Linked DNA regions of Schizosaccharomyces pombe. Changing the gene in region 1 together with any one later gene gives a genetic interaction. Each region holds a gene or a part of one and is shown on either strand. Other genes may lie near its edges. The genes, in order: trp1322, cis4 and apm1.

Region 1 (11,438 bases):
TGATGGTGATGTTCCGAATCTTTCATCGTGGTTTTGTATCGATAAAATTAACGAATGTTGGTTTTGAATAAACTATTAACAGTTTAGATTGCAAAGGGTATTCTTTTCACCGTAAAAGAAGAAATATCAAAGGAAATTAGAAATAATGGAATTAAATGAAAAAAGGTATTTTCCCAAGACTTAAATTACTATAGGGTTCGAAATACTTAACTCTTTTCTTTTTTCTCTATTTTTAGTAAGAGATCTCGATGGTTTACCATGAATTCCAGGATATCTTTTATCTCTGTTTCGACCAATTTAACATGCAAGCAAGTTAGATTATATTCAAAGAAACGTGTCTGATCTCTAAAGATAAGGCGCAGACAGAAATGCAAAGAACAAATGTCAGATATATTTAGAGTATTTCAATCGGAGCAATTCCGAAACAATCCAACTTCTGCATATGCACGTTTTCTAACGTTATTTCTCTAACAATCTCAATAACTGCTAAACAACAGTTTTAGCAAAAAAGTTTGTAAAGGAAAAAGTAATATAATAATTCTCAAAACAACCAATTTTCTTTAGGAATAAGCGATATTCAGCGTAGTACCACTAGATATACTTGCGTTGCTCGCTTTGTATATATATGGTAGTTGGATTGTTACAATGGCAGGGTGACTGAAGGATGAGCAAACGTAAGAAACACCGGTATGTACCGTCTTCGGAGCCGAATCGTCCGCGATGAGCATCTCAAGGATACACTAAATAAGATAGTGCGAAAAAAGGAGAACGTTATATAAAAATACTCAAACAAGAATCAAAAAAAGTGAAATAAACGATAGTAAAATTCATATTTGTATTAGCCAAAAGGAAGAATCATTATAAAAGAAAAGCTTGAGTTTAGAAATGCAATAAAATATGCAAAAACCAAAAGAAGGAAGCAAGATTCTGCGCGTTTATTCTTCCATGTTTATTTGTACTGTGCATGAGAAATGAAAGAGAAATCTGTGTTGTATGATCCATAAAATGTTTCTTATTCAAAAAAAAGTGAGTTATACTTATGACTGAATAGAACGAGTTTCTGGTATACCTCCATATCTAAAGGAACAGGAAATTAGTTAATCGGTCAATAGAATGTAGGACTTAGCAGAAGCAGAAGTTCAAAGGACTTCCTTATTATTTTTATAAACACAACTTACCAATATCAGTGCCAAAATCAACACAGGTTAAAAGCTGCACCGAAGAATCTGGTTTGACAGAAACGACAAATTCATAGAAATGATTGGGTTCAAGAGTGTTATCCTAAAATTAGTTAGATAAAATAAAAAAACTCTGAAAACCGATTGTAAAATAGATAAAACGTACCACAGTGAGGTGCATATCGAAAGAACCGTTGGAATCGACTTTTGCAGTTTCACCTTCAACTTGATTCGCCTTGCCAACAATCCGAACCGTTTTTCCAGAGCATTCTGGTAGCATATCTTTCGTAACTCGAGGTGTAGGGCGTTCCATATTATTTTATACGCGTTGTTTATAAAGTGGTGGAAGTGAAGTATGTATCAGACCAGGTAGTTAACTACTTGTTGACACGAATTATTTAAAATATTGGAACGCAGTACGTTATGTATTATATGTTGGAAGGCGCTGGGATGTAAATAAAAAAGCAAAAGCGTAAATATAAACGCTGGGGGCTAACGTTGATACATTACTGTTCTATTTTTTATAAGAATTATTCATAAAAAAATCTCCTTGTATCCTTCTGCGTTAATTTCACTACTTATTAATTGGTTGAAATGTTGTAAATAAACGGGTTAAAGACCAATATAAATACGTCTTACATATAGTGATTTAAATAACATTATGGAAAGATTTCATGGTATTTTATACTATTTTTGAAATCGTCGGCGACTCTTAATTTTCTCTCTTTTCCAATACCACTATTAGTAAATTGCTTAGGCGTAGACCAGAAGCTTCAATAATTAAAAGTAAATGTAATTGATGGAAAGCAGCCTTCTTTTAATGATATAATTTTTCAATTAGTTTTACCTTGAGGTTGTGATTTCATGTATTTCACTTTGAAGTCGCCCATCCCCTCGACCATTCAATTCAAAAAAAAAAAAATCAAAAAACTCCATACTCATATTGAAATCTTTCTTCTGTTACATTAGTTATTAAACCACTCTTCATTTACATTTGCAGAGCTTGTTACCTTAATACTTGCTAGTACCTAAAAGTGCTCTGGTTCAGCTCTCTAGTCGAATTTACCATCAACACTATTTTTGGTGTTACTAATTATAGGGTTTTTGCCCATGAACTATAGGCAATTGTTTCTTCTTCAAAATGTTAATTTAGAGTCTAATTATTTATTAAAACGTGTATGCCTGTCTTTAAAATTGTCTCCTTGTAAACTTACAAGGAAATTTCATCATGCTTGCCCTTCCAGTTCAAAAGTTTTGAAATATTTCCGCATAACTGGATGCCTAATAAATTTCGGGAAACAACCAGCAAACGATCATCATCTTTGGGGACATTGTGGTGCGCGTTTGAAGCATACTCAATCAGATCTTATTGATCGATTTAAAAATGCTAATTTGAAATCCGTGAATGAGGAAAACCTTAAAAAATTTTTCTCTGAATTAGAAAATCATGGAAACATTAGACAGTGGTTGAAAGACAAGTTCGAGAAGGACAAACGCGCTGCTGTTTGTCCTACTACTACAAAATCTGAGGAAGAGAAGTTGGAAAATGATTTTGAGTATTCTTTTGATTTAGAAGATTTCAGCAGTGAGAATTTTAGACAGTACGATCGTGGAGATTTGCTAGTGTTTTATAGGGGCTCCGAAGGCATTGAACTTGCTGCATGCACTGGTACTAATGTTTGGAACTATAGTAATGTATTGACCAGCATTAACGAAAACGGTACTATTAAGGAATTTCGTACATCTAGAGTTTTACTGAGATGTCCTAATGTCTTTAAAAAGCTGAAAGAGGTGCAGCAACCTCTTTCTGATGTTTCTGTTCCTTCTGATGTCCTACCTTTCACTATAAAGTTATTAAAAAAAATCTCTCAAAGAGCACAAGATTTAAGTCGAAGTCACCGAAATGAATTTTTGCGAATATTGACAGAATTCAATATTCCAAATAAACTTGACAATTCAGCTTCTTTTTCAGACCTTTTGAAATTTGTGTACAAAACTTCGAAGCCTAGCCCATATGCTAAAATCTCATTGTTACACTTTTTGCTTACAGAAAGCAAACATTTTTTAATAAGCGATCACATATTTTCCGAAATTCAAAAAGTCTATTTCCTTCCCTCTTCACAAAATGATTCTTTTGACGACGTTGTTGCATGCCTGCGTCAGAAATCAACACCATATCTTTCGTTTATAAAGAAAGCTCGTCATTTAATTCAAGTTTCCCGAGATAAATATAAGTTACCTATAAGCACCGAAGAAATAAAACCCGTAGTTTATTCACAGGTCACTTGGACTGAATTTGAAAAAAAACTATTGCGGTATCTTGTTCAGGAAATGATTGCAAAAAGTATTCAAAGTTTACCAAATACACACTTGTGTCAGGTTTACAAAGAAGTTGGCCTTCAAACTCACGAGAGGGGATTAACTAGTGATCAGTTTGCTAAATTCTTAACGGATATTGGCGTGTGGGCTTCATGGCAGCCCCCGAGGTTGTTTCAACAGGAATACAGCATTGCTGGCCTTGGTACTAATCCTCAGTTAGATGCTGTGTATGAACGTGAGTGTAATCACTTTAAAAAGTTTGTAAAAAATGAATTAAAAGATTCACTTGAATCGCAACGCGTCGATTTAAGGCATCTTAAAGCGTTCGCCTTTGATAGTTCTTCTACGAAAGAGATAGATGATGCGATTTCGGTTGAAGAATTAGGGATGTCTAATTCCTGGCTTCATATCCATGTTGCTAATCCTACGAGTACAGTTGACATTCGCAGTCCTTTAGGCACGTTTGCTGAAAGGAACTTTCAAACTATTTATCATCCCAACAAAATTGTGTATATGCTACCTCTCAATATCACTCAGAAATATTGGAGTTTAGATTCATCTTCTACAGCTCAAAGAGCATTAACTTTTAGTGCTAAAATTTCAAAAAATGGCGATATACTTGATTACAAGGTTCGGCCTAGCTTCATTTCCTCAGTTATCAAATACACACCCCAACAACTGGATAAAGCTTTGCATAGTAATCGATCAATTGCGAAAGACATCGTTTCTGGACCAGTGGATGAGGAAACAAAAGGAGTATCAAATGATCACATGAAAGATATATTAAGAATATATGAACTTTCGAAACAAGCCTGTTTTTCTAGGTTACAAAAGTTTGCGTTTGTTATTGCACAACCCACTCCGACAGTTGAATTGCTGCCTAATAATGTCCCTTATAATCTTGGTGATCTGAATCATCCAGTATACTGGTCTTCCTTCCCTACAATTAGTTTGAACGTTAGTGAAGGGTATAGCTTGGCAGAATCAGTAATATCAGAGTGCATGATATTGGCTGGCCGGGTTTCATCATTATTTTTTCAAGAACATAAATTACCTGGGATTTTTAGGGGCCAGCCTTATCCAATTATGGATGGTGTACGAAGAAAAGCGTTTGAAACTTTGTTAAGTAACAGGTCATCTTGGGGACTCGTTGAAACTAAGTATTCACTTTCTGTAATGCCTTTATTTGAAAGTTCACATTTAGCCTCCACACCTGTTTCCCACTTTTCTTTGGGGCTAAAGGATGGCTATATTCAGTCTACCTCTCCTTTACGCCGGTTTACCGACTTCTTCACTCATCATCAGATTCAGTCGGTATTATTAAAGACTCCAAAAAATACTATACCTGATGGTATTCTTCGTGGAAAACTAAATTTGTACAACCAAAAAGAAAAATCAATTAAAACTATAGGAAGATACATTAATCGTTTCTGGGCCTTAAAATATATAGAGAGACTTCCAAAGGTACAAAAAAATATTTATCATGGATATTTAATGGTTTCAGAACTTTCAACACCTCAGGTCATGTTGGAAGAATTGGGTGTTAAAGCGCATATTGATATTCTCCCGGACGAAGCATTCCGGTTAGCAAATACTCGCCAGGCATTTACAATTAAGGATGTCTTTCCGGAGTCTAATATCCTATTAGTTGCTTTAGCGACCTAACAAACTTATTAAAACTATTTTTATGGATATAATTTTACTTAATTAAATACTCAATCCTGCATTTTATCAATTTACCGAGACTTAACGATATAAATAAATTATGTTTTGGGATTTGATAGTAACCTGTTTCGCCAAAACTCATCTCAAAAACCAACAGGTAGTTTTACTATGAAGTCTCTTTGTTAACCTTGACTCTTGTGATTAAAATATATTTTCTTTTTCTATTTTTTGTAAGACAAGAAGCAAATGTCTTTGGATGCTTATAAATCCATCGACGAAGTGTGCTGCGTTGTTTAAAATCTAAGTTAAGAAAAATGATTGAATCTAAAGGTGAAACAGCACCCTCTTTAAATTTAAACGACGTTAATGTTGAAGAAAATGATGCTGCGCAAAGTTTTGCAGAGAAGGTTCAGCGGTTTCGATACCAGATGAAAGTCCATGCAGCACCGCGACAGAAAACGCTGCATTCTTTCCTGAAAAAGGATAATGCTAATATTCATGACTTTACTAAAGTTGAGAAACCACACATTCGTTCTTCTAAATCGAAGGTTTCTTATAACAGTATTACATCAAGAGTTACCAAATATTTTGAAGAAAAAAATAATTCCGTTGATCAATTGCATTCAGAAAGCTTGACCCCATTAAGCTTTGGCCATACCATTCCCAAGAAAAAGCCGTTACTTATGACGGCTTCTGTTTCAGAAGATTCTAGAGTTCGTGTTAGTAAGAGACAATTTAAGTCCAAAGTTGTTCATCCAGAAATTGCTATTTCTATTGCTAAAAGGCATAAGCCAAAGTTTCCTCTGTCTGATGAACTCATGAATGTCGAACCTGGGTTCCACCACAGCAATATCGGTTGTCAAATTACGCCTTACTTATGGATATCATCATTTAGAACTAATGTCTATTACCTAATTGGAAATGAGGGTGACTTATTGTCCCAACAAGTACCTTCGATAAGTGGGGAGTTAAACATGTTGAGAGGAGTATGCACCCGTATCGATGATGATAATCGCTATGATATTGAACAAGCTGGTTCTTGTTTTGGTATGTCGGTATTTCCAACCTCTGATTCTGGAGAAGAGTCTTTTACCACCCTTGAGTCCGATCCGATAGTTAATTGCGAACACGATGAAAAGAAAGTTGCTGATAATCTCCTGGTTCCTCAAGTAATGTGTTCTTCTAATATTTCAACGTTCTTTCGAAGCCCTGGTGGAAAAAAGTTGTATCATTATTTATGGAAAAATTCAAATGCCCTACGTATTTCCTCAAACGACCTTCTCGAAATACTTTTAAAGCACGGTGTTTATGTATCTTTGGACACTCTGCACTCGTGGCTTCAGGAAAGAAACGTAAATTTTGAAAAGTGAAATATTTATGTTAGACTAAGTATAGCAAACTTTTGGCGAGCTGGTCCCGTAATGATGATTTAATGTACGTTATATATCTAACAAGTCAAGAATATTATTTCAATAATTTTAAATGTATATATTTATGTGATAAGTTAGAACTAAAAATAACGAGTAGATAGCTTGTCTTAATTTTGAAGGACCAAAGCAGAAGGGACTTTATGACTCGAGTTTTAAACGTCTTTGAGAACGTTACTGAGTTCTTCTTGTCTTATTTGTTTTTTTTTATATCTCAATAGCGCTGTATGGTTTATAATATATGCATATAAAGCGCTAATGTTAGGACCTTTTCTTGAGCAGATTTGTCTTTGGAAAATAACGAAATAGTATATTATTATGTTATTTATTTAACGAGCCGGAAATTTTTCATAAAATTTCACTAACGTGCTGCGTAGTTAATCTTTATTATCTAATACTAGGACAAGGAACGCGAGAGCATGTGTTTGTCATTAACTACACACACGAGAAATAGCAATTTATGTGTTTCGCGTCTCTGGCCTACTTATATCTTACAAAGCATTCATTTTTTGAAACCTTCTTTTCTTTCTAAATAACTGCATTTGTAATTGCTCAAATTACCAACCCTGAGCAGTTAAAGTCTTTTTCAAATTTCGTTTCATAGAGAATCAAAAGAATTCAAGGTTGGATCTATTTATATTAAAATTTATTAGAATGTTTGTGTTTGGATAATAATGAAGCCTCGCCCGTACTCTGTTTTCCTCTTTCTTCATATCGTTTTTTACAGCCTTCTTTCAGCAGTGAATGGATCCCCAAGTTTGGATTATTTTGAGACTTGTTCAAACTTTGTACCGAGAGCAGGTATTCCTACCTTTAGCCCATATGCAGTTATCAAGAATTTTGATGAAGTGAATCGGATGTACTACATTCAAGTAGTGGGGAATTTATCCGGAGTTATAACGATTGTGGGTGGAAATGGCTCACATATTCACGCTGCTTCAGTTTATTCGGAAACTTATGCGTTAGGAAAACTGGTCACATCCAATACCACAAAGCTTTGTGATGTTGTTATGGATCCTCATTCTTTTGAAGTCCCCATAAAATGTCCTTGGGCAGCTGGAAGTGCCGCTTTCATGGTTAAAGTTCCCTTTAAATCCACCTTGTCCGATTACTCAAAATACGAATTGACTACATTAACAACGCGAGTAATCGTTGTTGACGGTACTCCCGAGAAAAATGTAATAACTTGTATGAAGTTTGGTTTGTCCACAACTTTGTATTATTTTTATCCAGTTATTTCATATTTGGTTGTTGTGTCGCTCGCATATGTCTCGTTTTCCATTATTTATGCTCTTTTTTTAAATCCATGGACCGGCAGTTTAGATCCATTTAAGTCGATTTTTAATTTTAATATGGACCCTGATGCTCTTCGTTTAACATCCCTTGGATTTTTTGATTTTGTGCAATACTTGCAATTTGCTGTTTCTACAGCTCAGGTTAGTGTTATGTTTCCAAAATTTTACATAAATATTATGGCTGCTCTTTCTTGGGGCACTGCTCTATTTCGATTTCCCATTTTCTCCGAGCCTGCTGAATATCAATTTGCAGACTTTGCCGACTTGTCTGTAGCATCCTCTAGTTATGCGGATTATTTGCCTAAGTCATATGGCATGTATTCGTTTCTCGATTCTATAGGAATAGGTACTGCATGCTGGCTTCCGTTTCTTATAGTCATGGTTATTTACTTATTTGCTGCGTTATTTGTAGCATTGTTGGTTATTTTTTTGAAATGGCTTATGTCTAGAATTTTCAATGAAACTATTGCCGAAACTCGGTGGGATACTTGGAGCTTCATTGCTGGTTCTCTGATACGTCTTTACTTCTTGACATATTTCCCTACCGTCGCTTATATGTCATTCCAGTTTGTCGCACCGCCCACAGGTTATGAAATTATCCCCGTTTTGTGGTTTATCTTTTTTGGAATCTTTATTCCGGTGTATTTATATATGAATCTCGCTTTTGTTGAACCATCGTCCAAACTTCTTGAAGATCAAACATATTTGCATTTATTTGGCTCTATATACAATTCGTTTCGAGAAGAGAGAGTTATGTTTTGGATCTTTCCAATTGCCGTACAATTTATGCGTGGTATTACGGTTGGTGTCATAGGAAGTTCCGGCTCTGCACAATTAGCCATATTCTTTATACTTGAAGTTGCTAATGTCGTGGCGTATGCTTATGTGCGACCACATTTCCCGCAGACGAGTATGAATACGTTAAACACCTTCATCTCTACCATGCGCTTGATCACGGTTATTCTAATGATTCCCTTAGATCCTCGATTAAAGGTTCTTGGCATTAGTAGAGATTTACTGGCCTATGCAATTTTGTTTATTCACATAATGGTTTGTATCCTTTTCTTACTTCTGTCAACTCAACGATTTATGGAAGTCAGTGCACGGTTATTAGGTGCTAAAAGTGAGAGTAAAGGTGTCCCACTCGATCGACCATTTGGTTGGGCCAGGGTATTTGGTATTAATGAATTGAGACGCCGGCGTCTTAAGGATCCATATTCCAATGGCAACACAATGATGTTTGATCATTCTACCTACAACTCAAATGAAATGTCAGTGCCACTTACGCCAGTCTCCGTTTGTTCTAATTCCCTTAAGAAGGATGGCGAGGCTGCTCCGCCAAAATTATTCGTTCAGACTAACTGTATTCCTCCAGTTACGCAAGCGTCGAGTCTTGTCCCTTCTAAGAACAATACAGCATCTTCAAGTAGTCTAATGTTGGATTCTCCTGTTACTCCCAGTTCTCCATACAGCACATCACAAGGATATTCATTTTACCGTCCACCTAAACCAAAGTCATCTGTTCGTAAACGGGACATGGATCAACTACGTGCTTTACAATTAGACTTTTTAAACAACAAGCCTAATTTACTACGCCATGATGTTAATTACGCGGTTCGTGAGGCCGATGTCTATCATCCACACGTAGACACAAGTATTGACAGTCTATCGCAAATCTCTTCGCAACCATTTGAAATGAGGCCCACTGCTATTCCACCTCCTCCGAAAAATGCATTTCAACGGGCGTGGCAAATTGTCCAATCAACAGCTAAGTCCATATGGCACTCAGACCCCCCGAAAGAATCTGAAAAAGGTTTCGTCGTTTTACGTTCTCGTCCACGGCCAAATTTGCAAAAGCCTCTTCCTCAGTTGCATATAGAGCCTTCCCGTGATGAACAGTACTCCATGGAGAGAAAGAAAACCGATGACTCATTAGCGGAGTCAGCCTGGTCGATTCCACATCCATAACTCCACTTTCGTTCGTTAATGTTTATGATTTGTGAGAATTTTGTTTTGTTCTTTTATTTTCACTTTTCATTTTTCATTGTTACACTTTACTTTTGCTGTTTCTTATTTCGAAATACGGAACGTATTCTTTTTTTAATTTATTTCAGTCACATTTTGAACCTCTAATTGTTTCTTTTTGAAACGTTTTTTTTCGCTATTATGACGGTAATCCTATTTTTTCTCTTACCTGTCTGCTCTCTTACTACTTCATTTCATTAAAGCTTGCATTTTTTTTTCCTCTCCCATACAGTTTCATTTACTAAAGGCCAAATTTAATAATCCCAAAATCTCGACTTTTGTTGTCTTAATATAGCACAAGTGCTTTCTTTGCTCTATCGGCAGCCCATTAAAGTCGAAATTTTTTTTCGTTCAATTTCGTATATTTTGTTGTTGTTGTTGTTCCTTTTATTTTAATTAGCATTTTCTATTATCCACCTGCCTTTTCATACCAATCTAATGCTCGTTTTTTCCCTAAATCTTTTTTCGTTAACCTTTTATGGTTCTTACATTTTCTCAGTTATCAAGTTAGCTAACTTTCTTTAACTCACATTTCTTTATTATATAAGGTTTTTTTTCATTAAAGAAGCTTGCTTAATAATTCGTTTTTTTTTGTTTTTCGTTTTTTTGCTGACAACTTCAAATCCATATTACTTTCGCCTCGCTCTGCTTAGCAGAACCTTTGTTTGAATTTCTACTCGCCTTCCTTGGCCTTTTTTTGCATACACTAACTAACTAGTTGGTTCATTTTTAGAGATCTACTGCGTTTTGCATATAGTTAGTTAATAATGTTCATATTTTAGAGCCATTTTCCATCCTCCATCGGCTAATAAGTGGTGTTTTCCGTCTACATTAAGTACCTCTCTTTATGAATAATATTCTTATATCGGATATTTCCAAACTTTTCGTGTACATTCGATTTCGATAGCTGTTGCGATGTTGCCTAGGTAACTACGTATAAAACCTTGGAACACGGTAATTGATTATTGATAATTTGTTTACGTACGGCGAAAACCCCACCAATTGATTTCCGCCGTCATAACAACCCACTTTCTTGTTGTAAACAAATTTGTAAATAAATAAAAATTTTACTTGCGTTCAGCAAGCATGTTTTTCGCAATAAACCTTTAGAATGCGACGTTGGAATAGATTGAAATTTTTTGTAGATTTATTAATGTCATGTATGATTTAACAAACGTTTATCGTCCGTTTGGCCATGCTCAAAGTTGAAAATTGTCGGTTGTTGTTTACACGTAATCTAAACAAATGTCGACAGGAAAGGTGACGTAAGTGCCGCTATATAAAACGAGCACCTACTTGTAACTTACTCTCTCCGTATATCATAACAAACATTGAAATTGTTTGTTTTAGAGGTTTAAAGAGAACGTTTTAACTTCGAAAAGAGACAGAAGCACTATGGATTTGGCACCACGTCCCCTCGGTCGTCAGCACAGCAAGTCGCAATCGGCTTTTGCTTTTGACAACACCGCTACCAGTATTGCTGCCAGTACTATGAAGAATGAGCTGAATCACTTGGCTAGCACCGTAAA
Region 2 (9,963 bases), on another chromosome or scaffold:
AATGCCTACAAAAATTTCTTTTTTTTGTAACTACTATTGCGTAGCTTTGACTTGTATATTAATGCGCTATTGTTTAGGAAATATAAAGCGACTCAAAGTGCTTTACCTTCCTTTGTACTGACCACCTGGTAATTTCCTCCATGATCCACCACCAGTAACGTTTATTTATTAATGTTCATCAAGAGATCCGATTACGCCTCTGCTTACTTGAAAATTAAAGAAGCAAGTGTATCTGGTGGATGCACAGTTCAGCTCTTTGTTGCTTTAGACCCAGACGCGCTTTGTGCATGCAAGCTATTGTCCACACTTTTGAAAGGCGATTTTATTTCACATAAAATTAGGCCTGTATCGGGCTATCGAGACCTTGAACAAGCAAATAAAACTTTGCTAGAGCAAAATGAAGATATCAAATTCATTATACTTTTGAATTGTGGAACGATGGTGGATCTAAATAATTATCTTGTTTCTATGGAAGACGTATCTATCTATGTAATTGATTCTCATAGGCCGCATAATCTAAATAATATATACATTGAAAACAATATTTTTGTTTTCGACGATGGAGATATTGAAGAAGACATGAATAAAATTCATGATGCTTGGTATGCATTTAATTCGCATGAGCTATCAGATGAAGAAAATTCCGATTCCAGTAATGAGCGAGAGGAGGAAGTCGAAGATGACAACCGATCTGTGGAATCTTACAGCTCATCCGATTATCAAGCACGAAGTCGTAGGCGTTTTTCAGAGGAAACGACGCAACGTCGAGCTGAAATTAAGGAGAAAAGGAAAAAACGGAAAGAGTTCGCCTCTATCCTTTCTGAATATTATGAGAAAGGAAGTTGGTACGGCGAGTCAATTACCAATATCCTGTTTGCAGTAGCATCCATGCTTGGACGTGAGGATAATGACATGTTGTGGTTAGCGATTGTTGGGCTCACCTGCTTGGAAATTCACTGCCAATCCTCAAAAAAATACTTCAATAGGTCCTATTCTTTATTGAAAGATGAAGTCAATCGCTTGAACCCTTCACCACTTGAAAATCAAATAGTCGGTCGCGCACATGGTAAGACACCCCATGATCAGTCAATTCGGCTTGAAGATGAATTTCGTTTTATGCTAGTAAGACATTGGAGTCTTTATGATTCTATGCTTCATTCTGCTTACGTTGGTTCGAGACTTCACATTTGGAGCGAGGAAGGACGCAAACGACTACATAAGCTTCTTGCAAAAATGGGACTCAGTCTGGTGGAGTGTAAACAAACTTATATTCACATGAACATGGATTTAAAAAAAACTTTGAAAAGTAGTCTTAAAAGATTTGCACCGTTTTATGGTTTAGACGATGTGATATTCCATAGTTTTACTCGGACTTATGGATTCAAATGTACACTTAGTGCAAGTGACGTTTCTTATGCTATCAGTGCATTATTAGAAATGGGTAATACAGGTGTTTTGCTTCAAAGCAAAACTGTCGCTCGAAGCCCGGATATGACGGAGGAAGAATATTTGGAGAAGTTTGAAAATGCTCAAAATCAAGAATGGTTGCACAATTTTTATGATGCATACGACGCCTTGGACGATGTCGATTCATTAGAAAGAGCATTGAAGTTAGCAATGCACTTACAAAGAGCCATTGTTCGTACTGGAATCACCTTACTTGAAAAAAGAGCCATTAAAACGTTGAGATCTTTTCGTTTTGGACTTATCAACGAAGGACCAGATCTGAAAATATTTATGCATCCCCTTGCGTTAACAAAGATGAGTCTTTGGATTGCTGAAGCTATTAATGTAAGTGTCTATTGATTTTAACGTTTGACTAACACTTGAAGGAGCAAGAACGAGAATTTGGAAAGCTTAGACATCTTCCTCTTGTTTTAGCAGCTTTTGTAGAGGAAAAAAATAGGTACTTAATAGTTGGAACTTCTACTTCCGCTTTTACTAGCAATGAAGATGACGATGATGACGACGGTCATGGACACAATCGTTTTGGAGTTGCATTTCAAGAGGTTGCAAACATGACATCTGCTACTTTGCAAATGGACTGTTTTGAAGCAAGTGTGATTGAGTGTCAAAAAAGTGACCTCGGGGTTTTTTTAGAAAGTCTGTCCTTCAAAACACTATTATAAAGATTGGGTAAATAATGGGAATTTTGCTAATAAAGAAAATATTAATTCATCTAATTAAAATTACACGTAAATAAGTATGGATATCAACTGATGTAAGAACTATTTTCCACACCAGCAATTGTTTGGCCGTTCAGATTGTATACAAATGTGTTTTAAATTTGGTACAGCGATTGAGAGCTTCCTAAATACTTCATTACGAACCACGTTTAAATCACCGTCTATGCTCACCTGAATATGGAGTATTCCATACACTTCACCTCTTTCGTTTGTCCAGAACTTAGGGTTGGATAAACTGATAACGGAGTTACTTAAACTGATGTTCGACAAACACTGCTTCAATAAATATTCCGATTCTGGATCAGTCACAGAGAGCAAATTCTTCGCCGAATCTTTAATTAATGGAAGTACAGAAACAAATATTAATGCAGCAATTATTAGAGATGCCAAAGGATCAAAACCGGTCCATGAAAACCACTGTATTAATATAGTAGAGACAATAACTCCAACAGAGCCCATAGTATCTGCGATAATATGCAGAAATATGCCATGCATATTATGATTTTCATGGTGATGATGACAGTGATGATCATTGTCTAAATTCTGGAGACTTATGCTTTCATGGTCGCATTTTTCATTGTATTTATGGATGTGATCATGATTGTGGTTATGCTCATGGTGATGTTCCTGACTATTCTCATGGGTATGTTCATGTTGGGATACGTGATCGTCATTCGTATAGCCCATTTTCTGGGCTTCAACATTATCTTTTTCTTCTTCAAACTCTTCAAAAATATTTATATCATTTGTAGTGTTAGGCAGACACATACTATGATTACTATGGGAATGATGGTGATGAGACCCATGATCATGATTATGCCCATGATTGAACGCTAGGATACCTACCAAATTCACAACAAGGCCCAAAAAACTAACCAACAACAATTGGTCGGTATTCATTTGGGGCGGATGAAATAACCTATATAATGCCTCGCCGACGATAGAAAATGAAATCAAAACTAAAAAAATACCATTAGTGAAACCCGAAAGAGCCTCAATTTTTGCAAATCCAAAGGGGTAAGCATAATTTAGAGGCATCTTGGCAAGCGTCGTAGCAACTAAACCGACAAGAATAGCAATACAGTCAAAAGCCATGTGAATTGCGTCTGAAATAAGCCCCAAAGAATTTGTCCAAAGACCATAAATAACTTGCACAAACATATAAGAAACATTTAAAAGGAAGAAATAAAATATGCTTCTTGACTCTTTATCGGCAAGCACTCCATTCACTATGAAATCATTGTAAAGTCGGTAAATACGGCTGTTGTCAGGAAGCTTCAAGTTTGCTGTTATAGAAGAACCAATTTTAAAGAAGCAAAATCCTACTTGATAGAGGCATGATATGATCTTGATAGAATTTTGAGAAGCTGTCTTGTTAATAATGGCAGAAATTAGGGCCATAATTAAAGAAATATCGAATTTTCCCAAGTAAAATTGAATTCTGGCAATTCCATCCCAATTGATGCAAAAAATTTGCATAAAACAAAGAATGGTAAAACGAGTGACTGATAGATTGATTGTTCCAAGCGGAAGGACATTAAATTGAATGAGACAAGCCACAACGATAGAAGAAAAAAGGAATGCCAATTCCTTCTTTTCAAACTTCTCTTTGTTCACAAGGTAAAAGACTCGAATGAAGACACCAAGAAGTATATAAAAAACGCTGGCATAAAAAACGGAATAAGAACATTGGAAATAACCCAACAGTATTAGGATATGATTAATGACAAAAAGACATATTGGAAATGCTATATAGTTCTTCAAATTAGCAGATCTGGCATTAAATGGTGTAGGATCGTTACGAATAAAAAATAATTTGAAAGCTAGCAATAACAAACAAGTCGTGTCTAGAGTTCCAAGTACAAAGGCACCTAAAGTTATGAATACCATCGATAAAGAAGCGATTATTACATTTAATAACTGAAAAGGTTGGAACGAAAATGAATAGATGCCCAAATATTGAGTAGTAAAGCTGACAAAAGCAAAGATGCCAAAAATAAGGTAAAATGGAATCGACATGGTATTGACTTCAAGACCAGAACCAGTAATGGAGAATGCACAAATTACAGAAAACCATCCTAGTGTTTCAGATGATAGCAAAGATTTACTCGAAATGAGCGATAACAAATCTTTTTTTTTAGCTGCAGCAATTGAATCAGAACTTGTCTTTTGGTCGTCTTTTAAAACAGGAAAAGAAGGGAACCTATTGGTTCTCTCGAACGCAGAAGAATTAACATTCATTTTTGTCGTCAGGAACACCCAAAAGCTGTGGTTGACTATTAAAAAATTGAATGATTAACAAAACTTAACTAAAGAATAAAGAAAACAAAATAAAGAGTAATCCTGTTTTGAAATTTAAATCCTGAGTTGGATGTGAAAGTGCATTAAGTTAATTTGACAAAGTTAATAAGTGGTCTTAACTATTTAAAATCAAACGTTGAAAGTTATTAAAAGCGTCTTATAGTCAAACTTCTGTTTAACTAAATTTGAGATATTCTAAATCGAACATGAAATGGTTGTAGTTGTCAAAAAGACCTAACACGCTAAATTAAGTCAACCAACACAAACACAGTCTTTATACATTCGAGATTTTAAGATAATATAAGATTGATGTTTAAAAGTAAGCACTCGTACAGTTTCATTTTTAGTAATTCATGTACAACCCCTCATAATCTCACTTAGGTGCGAAGCAAATCCACAATAACAATGTGCAATATTCGTAAATTCTTGAGTTATCCAAGATCTGTAGAAAATGTCGCAAAGCAGACAATATAACTTCTTGTTAATTCAATAAAATATTTTTGAGAGTTTTTTCCTTGAAAATAGGTCAAAGTAATTTTGTAATCTGCTAACAAAATACGCACTATCCAGCATTGAAAATTGCTTGTCTTGTACCAACTCGATACGTTGATAAGGAAAAGGAGGAGTTTAAGATGGGTCGTAAGCATTATTCTAGTAAAAAAAATGTTAGTACGAAATTAATTTATTTTTTATCTTACTAATGTGTATTAAATAGAGGTCTAAAAAAGGGGAGTTTGTAAACTGGGATTTAATTGAGAGAAAGTGAGTCATGACTTCAGATTATGTTTACTTACTAGATAGAAATGAAAACTTTGAAAAGTACTACAGGCTTCAGAAATTAGTGACGGAGGATGACTTTATCCTTTTAAAGCAAAAGCTTACTGAACAACTCCCGACAACATTTCGAATAACTGCATCGATTCCGTAAGTAAAAACATTATTATTTTTTGTTTCTAATCATTTTAAAAGTCATGCTACTCAAGTTCGTGATTATTTTATAGAACACTACTATCCACTCATTGAGAATGCAAGAACTGAGGATGCGAAAATCCCCTTGCCAGTTTCACTTCCATGGTATCCTGATGGAATGGCTTTTATGCTGGACATTTCTAAGGAAGTTATTCGAAAAAGCCCTCATCTCAAGGCACTTCAAGAATTTCTTGTACTTGAAACAGAAGCGGGTGACATAAACAGGCAAGAATCTGTAAGTATGGTTCCACCATTACTTCTTAATGTAGAGAGTCACCACAAAGTTTTGGACATGTGTGCGGCGCCTGGTTCTAAGACAGCTCAATTACTCGAGGCACTTCACAAACCAACTAAGAAAGAAGATATTACTACTTTGTTGCCTTCAGGAATTGTTATTGCAAATGATAGTGACAATAAAAGAGCGCATATGCTTGTACATCAGATTAAGCGATTAAATTCTCCAAATGTGTTAATTGTTAATCACGATGCTTCCTTTTTGCCGAATTTCCATCTATCTTCTCCCGACGGTAAAAAGTTCCTTAAGTTTGATCGTATCCTTGCTGATGTCCCATGCTCTGGAGATGGAACCTTTAGAAAAAACATTGCTTTATGGAATGAGTGGTCTTTGAAAACAGCTTTAGGGCTTCACGCGACACAAATTAAGATTTTAATGAGAGGTTTACAACTGTTGGAAAAAGGAGGAAGATTGGTGTATTCAACATGTTCATTAAATCCAATTGAAAATGAGGCAGTGGTTTCTGCTGTCTTGAATGCTACCCGAGGTTCTGTAAGGTTGGTGGATGTTAGTTCGGAGCTTCCTCAGTTAAAACGTAGTCAAGGTGTTGATAACTGGGTAGTTTGTGATTCCGATCTAAATATTTATCCTTCATTTGATACCTTGCCAAAGGAGCTTTACGAAAAAATGCCTCCTACTTTATGGCCACTACCAAAGAAAGAACTTGCTGAGCTGAATATTCAAAATTGCTTACGTATTTATCCACATTTCCAAAATACTGGAGGCTTTTTTGTTGCAGTTTTAGAAAAATATGAAAATCTTACTAGCTCTATGAAAACTGCCGTCGACGATAACAAGGTTTTTTTACGAGAACAAAAGTTGCCAAGTGAACAAGCATCAAAAAAACGTAAACAAGATACTCAAGAAACATCTTCGGATTCAAAATTAGCCGAAGTTAAACCAAAAGGAAAAAATGGGGGCAATCGATTTCACGAATTGGATCCTTTCGTGTATATAAAAGAGGACGATCAAGCTCTCGAGAAAATCTATAAGAAGTTTGGCATTGATGAAGCTATCATAAAGAAGAATCAGTTTTTCGTTAGAAATGTCAATGGTGTCCCTACGAAAGCCATTTATATTTCCAACGATCTTTTCAGAAACGTAATTGAGAACAATCGTAATCGTGTTAAATTCGTGCATGGTGGTCTCAAAATTTTTGTGAGACAAGATTTTGGAAGTCTTTCAAGAGAGATAGCAGAAAAAAACGGTACTTGCGTTTTTCGAGTTCAAAGCGATGGAGCGAATCTTGCTTCTCATTTTATCGCTGAAAGCTGTTTGTTTCATACTACATTATCTGATTTGTTCATTTTATTAGACCATGAAGCCGTGACCATTGACGATTTTCCTGAAGACAGTTTGTTCAGGAAAGAATATAACCATTTGGATCTTGGAAGCACTCTACTCCATGTTGATTTGGCAAAAGAAGAAAGCGTTATAAAGAAGCAAGTCTACATACCTTTATGGAAAAGTGTGCGTATTTGCAACGTTTTGTTATCGAATTCAGAAAAAAGGTAAGAACATGATATATACGCAGAACCTATTCTAACCAAAACAGGACATTAAAATTACAGATAGAAGGGCCACAGAGTTCAATACACAAACATAACACTTGAACCTGAAGTGTCAATACTACGAGGATAGACAAAATACTTATATAAATATACTGTAAAGTTTCTGAATAGAAATAATGGGAATACTTGAATGTTCTCAATTCAAAATGATTGTATACAAAACTATTAAAGTCATCAGCCAATTCACTTAAGAAACTTAATGACAGAGATATAAGAATTAGCTACAACCTCAATAACTTTAAGCTGTAGCTTCCACCTCCAAATCATTAGTAACTGTCACAGTTTCTTCAGATGATATAACCATATCAGCTTCAGTTAAAGTTTTTTCTTCTTTAGAATTATATTTAGCTTCCAGTTTTTCAATTTCCTGCTTGGCTTTCTCAATACGTTGTTTGGTAACAGAGTCTTGCTGCTCTTTAAAATGGGCGATACGTGACTTAAGTTGTTCAACGGCTGAATCAACTTGAGACTTAGTGAAAGGAGCAGGAACACCGACAAAATCGAATTCCTTAATAGTGCCAAAAGAAAGATTGAGTCTATCAGAATCGGCTTGATTGTTGTTGCTTTTGTTTGATTTTTTGGGCTTCGATTTTTTAAGTCCGCTAAACATGGCATCATCGGAAGACTCTTTCTTAATAATAGTTCCTTCAGGAATTGGATCCACAGTGCGAGGAGTCAAAGTTCGTGGCTTCAAAATTTTACTAGAAGTATTTCCGGTTGAAACGGCATTTGTAGTAGAAGATTCGACGGGAACATGAAACACCTTTAATAAGTTTTCACAGGCAAGAATCTCTTCCGTAAAGGCAGGAATACTAGCCTCTTCTAACTTGCGTTGAGCAGCAATTCTTCTCTTCTCCTTCTCACGATTTTCACGCTCAAGACGAAACTGTTCTTGTCTTTTGGCACGTTGTTCACGTTCATAAGTACGGAATGCGCGCAATTGGGTATCGTACTCACGTTGTAAAGCTCTTCGTTGATTATATAGATCATCGAGTGCAGTCTTCTCATCATCTCTTTCTGCTATGAGCTTACGCTGATCTTTATAGTAACCGTCTTGTTGCTTACGAACCTCATCAAGCTCAGAACGGATTTCTACGAACTTGTCACTCAACTTCTTTGATTCTGAATCATTAAGTTGATCACGAAGCTCGTTAAGTTCATTTCTAATCGTATCAATACTAGTTTGAAGAGCGTTCAACTCAACGAAGCTCTTTCTAGTACGATTGCACTGAGAAATTTCACGCAGGTATTTCTTCTCATCAACAATCTTTAAAGTTCCTGAGTCAACGGCGGCTTGAAGTTGTTTAACATGTTTATCAAGCTCCACTTCTGACTTGAAAGGAACAGTTTTTTTCATGGCAGTCAACTCCTTAACCTAAAAGTATGTCAGTAAACATTTTGTTTCTTTACCAAGCTCATAAAGTTTTCCAACACAAAACTTTAGTGCTTACATATATTAATGCAAAACATACCTTCTTTTTCAAAAGTTCATCTTGAGCCTTGACTTTGTTGATGAGAGTTTGCTTAGAAGAACGGATAGCTGCTTGAGCATTGCGAATATTGTCTAATTCAGCGCGAAGTTCTGCATTCTTCTCCTGCAATGAACCACCACCGCGAATGGCACCAAGCTTCTCCTTATGCTCATTCTAGTTGATTAGTTAAGATGCGAAAACTATATAAGAAACAAGTGATTTTTTGAAGCTTTCATAGTTATGAAAAAAAAAAAAAGCTTAGCCTTCAATATTCAAGAATTTAAAACTACTTACGAAACGCTTTTTCGCCTCGTTGATCTTAGCATCAAGCTCCTCCAAAGCCTCCTTGTGAAGAGCTTCATTAGGACGAACGGGTTTATGAGATGACATTTTTATTAAGGATTTTGTTGTTGGTGGTGGATAGTGGTGTGTGTTGAGTTGTCGTTTAACGAGTATATAACAAGGCAGATAAACTCCGTTTGTTTTGCTTCCCTAGAGTTTTCGTTCGCAGTGCTGTGAAGGAGACTACCTGTTTCTGAAATTTTTATAAATAGCTTTTTGTTGACGGTTATTCAGACATCGTGTGAAGAGCAGTCTAAGGAAAAGATTACGATAATACATGTTATGATATTTTTTTTTTATTTATTTAAATAAACTGGTAGTTTTTTGCACTCGTCCACGTATTATGTTTAATATTTCAATTTAAAAATCCTGAATTGTAAATTTAGTGACCTTTATTTGCAATGTGTTGACTTGAACGAAACAAGAAAAATTAATGCATTTTTTCTCACGGATTAGCTTACCGATTAGCGGAGCATTAACATTTAATTTGGGAGGTACACAAAAACAGTTTTAAACTAAAAGTTACTTGCTTTTTAAAAGCAAATAGAAATATTGCAACTAGTCTTATAAAGCAACAGGATACTTCACTTATAGAAAGCGAATTTGAAAGCATAACTATCCATTCTTTTGTTACAACTATTGCATATAAGCACAAAATGTCTTTAAGTTAAATTATACATAATATCCTTTTTCTGTCACGTAAATTGTAAGTTCCTATTCAATTTCAGGCTGTGAAAAGTCCGTGAAAATAATACATCGAAGAGCTTTACAGGTTTCACAGAATATCCCGATGCTACCCATGTAATTGTTGCATACACCATTCTCAG
Region 3 (9,363 bases), on another chromosome or scaffold:
TCTTCTTCCTAAGTTTCCCAAAAGTTTTTGTCATCTCTCATCTCCTCTTGTTATTGCATCTCAGCAGCGACTTTTCTGTTTGTAAGTGATCTCCATTACCTTTTTCCATGGTACGGAATTTTTATTTTCGGACTTAATTATCTTGCTTCATACTATTTTATTCGTTGTGCATTTTCGTTCTTTTTGGATTTCTTTCTGTTAATACTAACGTTCACTACTGGTATTTGAACCAATACATTCAGAAATATTACAACATTTTATTTTTCGTGTTCTTGGTATTTGTTTTAAGAGTGTGTTTTTTTTTTACTCACTAGACTGGCTGTACGTCGTAAAGTATGTTTCCTTGACATATTCTAGTCTAGATCGCTTTGTTCATTACATTGCTTCCTTTTCTGTTATATATGTTAATTTCACTATATGTTTTGTTTTTATATATTTTCTGATTTGTATAGAAAAGAATAAATCTTTGTTATATTTTTACTCAAAATGTTCATAGCAAACATTTGACTTTACAAACTGCTAAGCAGTGTTTTTAATAAATTTAATGCTAAAGCCTTCACTGTGTTTATTATGGCTTATGTTTGAAGCTTCGTATTTCCAAATTTAAAAAGTGAATAATCTAACAATGTTAATATGCTAGTCAATTTTTTTTAACAGTGTGGTGTACCACTAGAATTTCTTCGTTTTGCAATTGCCCTGGTTGAAAGAAAACTTGCTAGAGCACCGAAGTTCTTGTGTACGGTAATCTTTTGGTGAGACCAATCCACTTTCGCATTCAAGTAGAAAGAGTTGTAGTGTCCTAAGGATCTTATATGTCTTTCTTTCAGCGTCATAATCAACTCATGGTTTTTTCAATTCAATTCAATCATATAAAATAGGTAAATTGCTAAAATTGATTAATTTCATTTTGTAAATTTGAAGAGGATATAAAACAGTGTGCGCTATTTCCCCTAATGATCATTTAATAAGTAGTTACAATTTTATATGAAATCCAAAATTACATATCGTCAATTACGATTAAAAATCGTTCTTTGTGATGTGCTTACAATTGAGCTTTTATTCATAACTTTTTTTCAAAACAAGTATTATGCATGTTAACTGTAATTGCATCAAAAACTATATTGTGCTGCCAATTTTAACCAAAATCCTATATGACTATCCTGGATGCATGATTTTTTTCGTAGAATTCTCTATTGTCAATTAGGGTGCATTCACCCCAATTATAGAACATCAAATTATAATTCAACTTTAAAAACTTTTATTTCATGTATTACTATATACTCTTTGAGATACATAATTGATAGTACTCTAAAATACAATGAATTTATATATGAGTATACCTCCCTGCAAATCTTAAAATCTTCTTGTCTCTGATTATAAAAACGAACGTTTGTTGGTATTATGATGATTTAAAGCATTTAAGTAATTATTTGGGTATTAAGCTATACCGTTGTAACAGCAAGAGCTTAATTGTTTCAACAATCCAACTTACGCGTTAGGCGGAGTCAGTAAGTCACCTAACTATATTTATTTGGGAAATTACTATAATCATTTACTTTGAAGCATTCAACATGCTTGAAAAGTATGAGCAGCAGAGACGTACTTTCTCTTATGGCCATTGCAAGAAGTGTTAGGAAGATAAAGATATATTTTTTTTTCATCAGCATGATTTCCTTTCAAAATGCCCTTACTAGATCTTTTAAACAACATTAATAGGTTCACATCTAATGTATTGCTATTCATTATCTGGAAGATCGCTTCGGTCTTTATAAGTAACTAATTCTTAAACGCTGTTATCATTGGACGCTAAAAAAATTTTCTCTTTGATAATCCGTTGCCAAGGTCAAATTTACATTCGGATATCAGCTTGATCTTAATTATTAAATCCATCAAGAGGTGTAAACTACATTTATTATTTTAATTTGCTCTAAATGAGAAATTCAAATGTCCCATTTTTGTCATATGGCTCGCTTATAACAGAACTTGGATTACTAAAATGTTGATCGGATGTTGTAATTTAGTCGTGCTTAATATTGAGTATGATGAAAAGATTGTTTAAAGTTGCGAAAAGCGGATGCGTTTTTGAATCCATAACAAACTATATATACAGATAGTGTCTGGCTTCAATATGTGTATCGCTAACCAGCACTTCTATTTTTTAGCCAATAAGCTATAGCTTTATCAGCGATTTCAAGGCCCCCTGGCAGATTGAGGACAATCGGAACGTGCAAAGATATAAAACGCACATAAAGTGTAGTTTTCATTCAATTACACTCCTTCACAATTGGATATTGTTTCATTCTGTTATTCTTTGTACAGAAAAAAAAATATCTTAATTTACTTGGTACTAATCAAAAAATTATCATTTTCTCTTTTGTTCTTATGTGTCTTCCAACAATTCGAAAAATTGCAATCATTGGTGCTGGTCCCTCTGGATTAGTTACGGCTAAAGCGCTGTTAGCAGAAAAGGCGTTTGACCAGGTCACGCTTTTTGAGCGAAGGGGGTCTCCGGGTGGTGTTTGGAACTATACAAGTACTTTATCAAATAAGTTACCGGTTCCTAGCACAAATCCCATTTTAACAACCGAACCCATTGTCGGACCAGCTGCTTTACCTGTGTATCCTTCACCTTTGTATCGTGATCTGCAAACTAATACCCCAATTGAGTTGATGGGTTATTGTGATCAAAGCTTTAAACCCCAAACTCTTCAATTCCCCCATCGACATACCATTCAGGAATATCAACGGATATATGCACAACCTCTGCTGCCCTTTATAAAATTAGCCACCGATGTCCTAGATATAGAAAAGAAGGATGGCTCCTGGGTCGTGACATACAAAGGAACGAAAGCCGGAAGCCCGATTAGTAAAGATATCTTTGATGCAGTCTCAATTTGTAATGGTCATTATGAAGTACCCTATATCCCCAATATTAAAGGTCTCGATGAATACGCTAAAGCCGTGCCGGGGTCAGTTCTACACTCATCGCTATTCCGTGAACCAGAATTATTCGTGGGTGAATCAGTACTTGTAGTTGGTGGTGCTTCTTCTGCAAACGATCTCGTCCGACACTTGACGCCAGTCGCTAAGCACCCTATATATCAAAGTCTTCTTGGTGGAGGGGACATACAGAATGAATCGTTGCAACAAGTACCTGAAATTACTAAGTTCGATCCTACCACTAGGGAAATATACTTGAAAGGTGGAAAAGTGTTATCTAATATTGACAGAGTTATTTATTGTACCGGATACTTGTATTCCGTACCATTTCCTTCCCTGGCTAAGTTGAAATCCCCTGAAACCAAGTTGATTGATGATGGTAGTCATGTGCACAATGTCTATCAACATATATTTTATATCCCCGATCCAACTCTGGCTTTTGTTGGTTTAGCTCTACACGTTGTTCCTTTCCCTACTAGTCAAGCACAGGCAGCGTTCCTCGCGCGAGTTTGGTCTGGTCGCCTCAAATTACCCAGCAAAGAAGAGCAGCTGAAATGGCAAGACGAATTAATGTTTTCGCTGAGTGGAGCAAATAATATGTATCACTCTTTGGATTATCCAAAAGACGCTACCTACATTAACAAGCTACACGACTGGTGTAAACAGGCTACACCTGTTCTTGAAGAAGAGTTTCCGTCACCGTATTGGGGCGAGAAGGAACGAAGCATCCGTGAAAACATGTGGTCCATCCGTGCTAAGTTTTTCGGAATTGAACCTCCAAAGTAAATACGTACTTGAAAACTCATTACACCCTTAGACCTTTAAACTTTTCCCTTCAATCTTTTTCTTACTATCCGGTCTCCCTCTCATTCTCTCGCTTTTGGTTTTTAATTTATTATGTTTAGAAAACCGTTTGGAACAATCTGTCTTTTATGTATTTTTAATACACGGAGATTCACTACTGAGTAAATGGAATTGTATGTTAGAAAATCTTTATTTCTGTTTTAATAAAAACATTGAACTTATCCTTTATACAATAAATAGACTTAGACATTTATGTTTCAAGCAAATGCTCCTTTTATGTCAGCTGAGTAAGAAAAAGGATTAGCGCGTCTGCAAACAAGATTTCATTTCGTAATAAATGGGATCAGTACACTAAGAAAACAAATATATAGATGAAGGGAAAGGTATCTAAAGGTAGAAAAAAGAACGGAACGGAGAACCATCATTAGAAACATTTACTGACGGATGGAATATTCAGTACCATTTTGTGTAACATATCGAACCCAAGGCATAGCATGATAATTAAGTTTTGGTTCGGTGATTTTTAAATAACGAACTTGGATCCCTGAGGTAGTGAAATAGGGAATAGCAAATTTTAGTTGAACAGGACGTTTTTTCTGAACTTGAATATCTTCATTTTTAACACTTGGTAAACCCATTTCAGCACGCATGAAAAATTCTTTACCACCTGCAAATTTCTTAATGTTCCAAACCATGGCAGCTTGTTCAGGTGCATATTGCACATGACCATTGCTAGTTTGAAACCGAGGACTGTCAGCATCTTCCGGAACGGGAATGATGATTTGGACATTATTTGCAATACAACGCTTTTTGAATTGAGCCTTAGCTTTTACCATAAACTCAATTCTCGAACCTGAATGCACGATGGATTCACATTCAACCCAAATTAATGGCCGTACCTAACGAGAAATTAATATTAGAAAACGTTGATAAAGGAGAGAGGGAATAAAAAGAACAGGCACAAACTAATAACTTACATTTGAACTCATGCGATAGGACATTAAATCAAATTCGCCATCAGGAGGAATGAACGAAATTGTACGATCGTTTTCAAATCGAGCAAGACGAACACATTGGTGAAATTTCACATCTTCCATTTCCACAGTGTTTCCTTTAATGGTACGACCAGCCGCTTCGAAAAGGACCTTGTCATTGAGCCCAAGACGAAGTTCAGGCATTCCTGATAAGTAGCATTTGAGACGAACTTTTCCTAAGATTTCACTTTGAATGACCGTACCATCGGCAGCAGCAATTAAATTAACTGATTCAATAACGTCCAAAAATACTTCATTCTTACGATAGTGAATTCCTTCAGAACGCCAGGAGATAGCATTTGTCATAGCAATGGGGGGTGGAGCATGCTTTTTTACCGTATTTGAGGTTTGAGTGATGTATTCTTGCAAGATTTTTGTTTCAGTTGTTTGTGGAAAACCGAAATCCATGATCTCGTCTAACAATTCATAAACAAGAACAAAGTTATCTCGAATCGACTCTTCCTGCAATTCTTTAAAGTAATCTATAAAAACGTCCGCCATTTTACGCAAAAATACTAGCATCTCCATTGCATCGGAATTCATTTTGGATAAAGCAAGGAGGTAGACATCATTATGGTGAATGTAAATGTACTGAAAAGTGTTAGTACGACCATAAAAAAATAAGAATTGTTGGCTTTCATAATATCTAACTTTTACATACGTTAATGCCTTCGTGAGTGAGACAAGGGGTGGAGAATCCTTGTTCTTCTTCAACTTCTGATTTTAAAGGTAAAAACTTTTCAACTACTGACATGGGGATATCAGCTCTAATTGTTTTCTGTTAGTAACCTGTCGACGAATTGCGACAATCTGATTTTCATTCAGATTTCAAAATTGCCTACCGGTAATCACGGGAAATGATTACCTTTCCCTTTAAATTCAGAACGAATATAGCAGAAGCCATTTTTACAGAAGCCGCGAATAAGGCAGCTAGTTTCGCTCTGGATAACTAGCATTGACTGTTGGCTGCCTCATCACCGTGCCTAAGCACCGCTAGTGTAATACAGCGTAATTCACTATTTCTGTTTCTTACATATAGTACGAAATTCTTCTTATATTGAGTAATTACTACTCTATGCACACATTCAGTCTTCTTTTATAAGATAATCTATTCAGATAATTATAACTAATTTACATTATATGGTTTTGTAAATGCCGAAAAGGAAAATAATTTTTCTGACAATGTAAGAAAATTTCGGTATGTTTTATTTGACAACTTTGGCTTATAACAATAAGAATAACAAATATTTTAATAAAATTTGATCTCAAACATTGTAAATATTAAAAGCCACAAATCCCAAGAAAGTGCAACGAAAAAAGTTGTTAACTTTCACCAATGATAAAACCAAAGTGAACATCGTGGCTTTTTAAAAAGACACAGATTTTTTTCTAAAATAAAAAGGATAGAGAAATAACAACGTAAAGATTCCAAAAGTGTGTAAAAAATCAATATATACCTCGTAACCTTAAAATACCCAAATAAATTCCCAATAAATACATAACCTATACGCGTCTTTAAACAAGTCGAATACGCTTTTCATGAGCCCTTCGCTGTCTTTTTACGGCATCTTTTCTTTTTCGTTTGTAATCACGAGTTAAGAATAGACGATTTTCCGACCACCAGGATTCAAGAGCTTCTCTGCTCGTATAATCTTCATTACCTGGTTGGAATAGGGAAGAAGGATTGGGTAGAGTAAACATTTTTGGCCAACCCTTGGTACCCGATGAGGCTTTAACTATAGCTAGCGGAGTTTCCCCATCTGCCTCTTCTTCCATAGTTTCGTAATTACGGTCATCAATCTCACTTTCCATTTCACTTTCCTCACCAACTCCATTTTCATTGCCAAAAAGAGAAAACTTAGACGTATCCTGCGCATTGGAAGAAAACATTTCTTTTAAATTGTCAACGTTAACAACAGCAGTACGCTCATCAAATGCTTCAAATTCAGCAGGAACATCTATGTGTACGGACTCTTCCTTTTGTAAATTATCTTGTTCATCCAAACCTTCTTTTTGGAAATTATTAGTCGAATCATTGTCCAGTTCCAAAACACCTGAAGTTTTAGATACGGTATCAATTTCTTCTGTATTTTCAGAACCAAACAGTTCAGCTAACACAGATGCAGCCGTATCCTTATCTTTTTTTCGCAAAGCATCCAATTGCTCTTCGTTTAATTCTTTTGTGACTTCAATCTCCCCAGTTGTGTTATTAAGAAGTTCAAAATCGTTATCATCCTTCTGAGTAGAAGCTTTGATACCCAATTTTGCTTGCATACGTATTTTGTCACGAGAAGCTCTCTTACCCCCATATGATACATACTCATCATGATCAGAATCATAAAAAGCTGTAGTATTGTCCATATTCGTTTCCACTCGGCCCCATAGTTTTTGTAAGCAGTTTTTACCCAGCGGATAAAAAAACCTCGTTTTCTTAGTATTTTTATTATACATTCGAAGCACGACAATGGCCCTTCCATAGGGGCCTTTTTTCCAACCTTTTCTAGGAGGATCCTTCCGAACATCAGAATCCGTGACCACCTGCATATTTTTACTATGTTTTCCGGGAACAATTATTTCTCCATGAAAGACTGGGTCTTCCAGATCAACTTTGCTGGAGTGATCTTCATTTTTCTCATCATTATTAGTACTTTGAAGATCAGCAATTTTTTTTTCCTGCTGCAATTTTACTAAATAATAAGGGCGAGCTTCCTCTATACGAAGTTTACTTCCTTTAAACGTCGCATTTGATAAGTAAGACTTGCATTTCTGCCATTTATCTTCATCTGTTCGAAAATTCAAGTATGCAAATCGTTGTATAGTTCCTACTGGAGTAGATTTGTTTATAATTTCAAGATTTGAAACACTTCCAAAACGAGAAAATCTGGATTCCAAATCTGAAGATTCAATAGAGGATGAAAGGCCACCAACATAAATCCGTTTTTCTAACTCCATTATTGAAGTCAATTGATACAAAATGAGGACAAAAAGTTTCGCAGGTCAAAAAGAGTGTCTGAAATATAATGGGAAATAAACCCGAAAAAATAGTCTACCAATCGCTACCAGATAGCTATTTAGATGAGGAATCGAGAGCTGTGTGAGCAATGAAATTTTTTACAAGGAAAGCATATATACTGGTTTAAATCTCTATGACTTTCGGAAATAAACACTCCTGTAACTTCTTTTTCTCCTTCTTATAAATCAAAAATTAACCTGCTGTAGAAGGCAGGTTCTCGTTGAATAATTATATAAAATTGCAATGGAATTTGTGGTGTAGTAAGTAACCACGGCCTTGCCGAAGCCAAGTTGGAGAAGCCGCGGCTACCTTACACTAACAAACGAACAGTTTTCACATCATTCTCTTTCCAAATAAACCGGTAAAACATCCTTCTTTACTGGATTGGATAGTTTAATATGGATGTTGATGATTTAATTTACGCTTGTAGAGCTGCGGATGAGGAGTTACTAGATGAGATTATAGAGAAATGTCCACAAGAATTAAGTCGTCGTGATGAAAATGGTAACTCTGGACTTCATATGGCTAGTGCTAATGGACACATCGCTGTTGTTCAAAAAATAATCCCGTACTTGAATAAAGAAGTAATAAATGCTCAGAATGAGAGTGGAAACACCGCAATGCATTGGGCAGCACTGAATGGACATGCTGAAATTTGCAAATTACTACTGGAAGCGGGAGGTGATCCTCATATTAAGAATATTTATGAGAAGTCACCTATATATGAAGCTGATATTCGAAATCAGCAAAAAGTAATGGACCTTTTTCTGGATTTTGAGATTGCTAAAGGTAGTGAAGAAAACACTGGTGATGAAGAAAAATTGGAAGATGGAATATGATCGTTTTATTTGATAATTTCTGATTTTTATTTTGTAAAAAAATTTACCTCTTTCTTTTGTAGGTTGTGGGAAGCTAATATTTTTATGCACCTGATGCATTTTTTTTTTCTTTTGGAGCATAATTTGGGGTTATTCTTATATTTTGTTAAGTTTTTTACTGTGTAATTTCTAGATGTTTTCTCAATATAATTCGTTTTCAGCGATGTACGTTGCCATGTATCTGTGTAGAAAGTTCAAGTGATGTTTATTAAAAGATGGATTATCTCAATAGACAAAATGTTTATCTTCCATCATTTACAGATAGAAATTGAATTGGAAAAGTGCTTTCATTTTTGTTTAAACCTTGTAATTAAACCTATGTAGCGTTATACGTTGGAATAGAAAGAGAAAAGCCTACCGGTTGCGTTCAAAAATGGAACAAAACTTTATTTCTAGATTTTATCAGGTTCGTTATTCATGGCAATCTAATCAAATATACAATTCATGGTTATAATCCCAAGGTTTTACGAGCCAATCGTCGAACTACACGACAATATTCTTCTCGATCTTCTCTCCACATCTTGCACGCATCGATGTTAGCACCACTTTCATCGTTTGGTTCCGCCAACATCGACATTACCGATAACAGTATTTTTTCAACAGATTGAACAGGAGACCAACGTTCTGAAGACGACTCATACATATTTGGATCGTCACCAGGTGCATGTAGGATGGAAATGCAAACCGTCCCATC

What was found.
Region 2: of trp1322 (region 1) and cis4, extra expression of one rescues a mutant of the other (dosage rescue), as found in Schizosaccharomyces pombe (one study listed by BioGRID).
Region 3: of trp1322 (region 1) and apm1, extra expression of one rescues a mutant of the other (dosage rescue), as found in Schizosaccharomyces pombe (one study listed by BioGRID).

Annotation. Positions count from the first base shown.
Region 1 is NC_003421.2:1,280,874-1,292,311, forward strand, and holds trp1322 (TRP-like ion channel protein), read left to right. Parts: upstream 1-7,016; 5' UTR 7,017-7,263; coding exon 7,264-9,852; 3' UTR 9,853-10,938; downstream 10,939-11,438. Other genes in the region: pdr16 (sec14 family protein), read right to left, coding at 1-26; DNA replication factor A subunit Ssb3, read right to left, coding at 1,013-1,077, 1,179-1,281, 1,345-1,491; rpm1 (3' ssRNA-specific 3'-to-5' exonuclease), read left to right, coding at 2,289-5,162; pxd1 (protein Pdx1), read left to right, coding at 5,477-6,532; fyu1 (UTP-glucose-1-phosphate uridylyltransferase), read left to right, coding at 11,305-11,438.
Region 2 is NC_003424.3:4,724,632-4,734,594, forward strand, and holds cis4 (Golgi zinc importer, CDF family, Cis4), read right to left. Parts: upstream 4,711-9,963; 5' UTR 4,428-4,710; coding exon 2,229-4,427; 3' UTR 2,151-2,228; downstream 1-2,150. Other genes in the region: DNA replication pre-initiation complex subunit Cdc45, read left to right, coding at 172-1,791, 1,833-2,129; trm401 (tRNA (cytosine-5-)-methyltransferase), read left to right, coding at 5,120-5,152, 5,203-5,249, 5,289-5,411, 5,457-7,262, 7,307-7,364; SPOM_SPAC458.02C (mRNP complex protein), read right to left, coding at 7,561-8,697, 8,795-8,968, 9,089-9,184. UniProt on the Schizosaccharomyces pombe protein: Probable zinc transporter involved in Golgi membrane trafficking through the regulation of zinc homeostasis.
Region 3 is NC_003423.3:1,906,499-1,915,861, reverse strand, and holds apm1 (AP-1 adaptor complex mu subunit Apm1), read right to left. Parts: upstream 5,722-9,363; 5' UTR 5,683-5,721; coding exon 5,621-5,682; exon of another isoform or gene 5,546-5,620; coding exon 5,440-5,545; exon of another isoform or gene 5,370-5,439; coding exon 4,722-5,369; intron 4,644-4,721; coding exon 4,179-4,643; 3' UTR 4,047-4,178; downstream 1-4,046. Other genes in the region: CCAAT-binding factor complex repressor Php4, read left to right, coding at 1-12; fmo1 (flavin dependent monooxygenase), read left to right, coding at 2,383-3,726; ribosome biogenesis protein Nop8, read right to left, coding at 6,294-7,730; ribosome biogenesis protein Yar1, read left to right, coding at 8,190-8,630; ubiquitin-conjugating enzyme Ubc7, read right to left, coding at 9,118-9,363. UniProt on the Schizosaccharomyces pombe protein: Component of the adaptor complexes which link clathrin to receptors in coated vesicles. Clathrin-associated protein complexes are believed to interact with the cytoplasmic tails of membrane proteins, leading to their selection and concentration.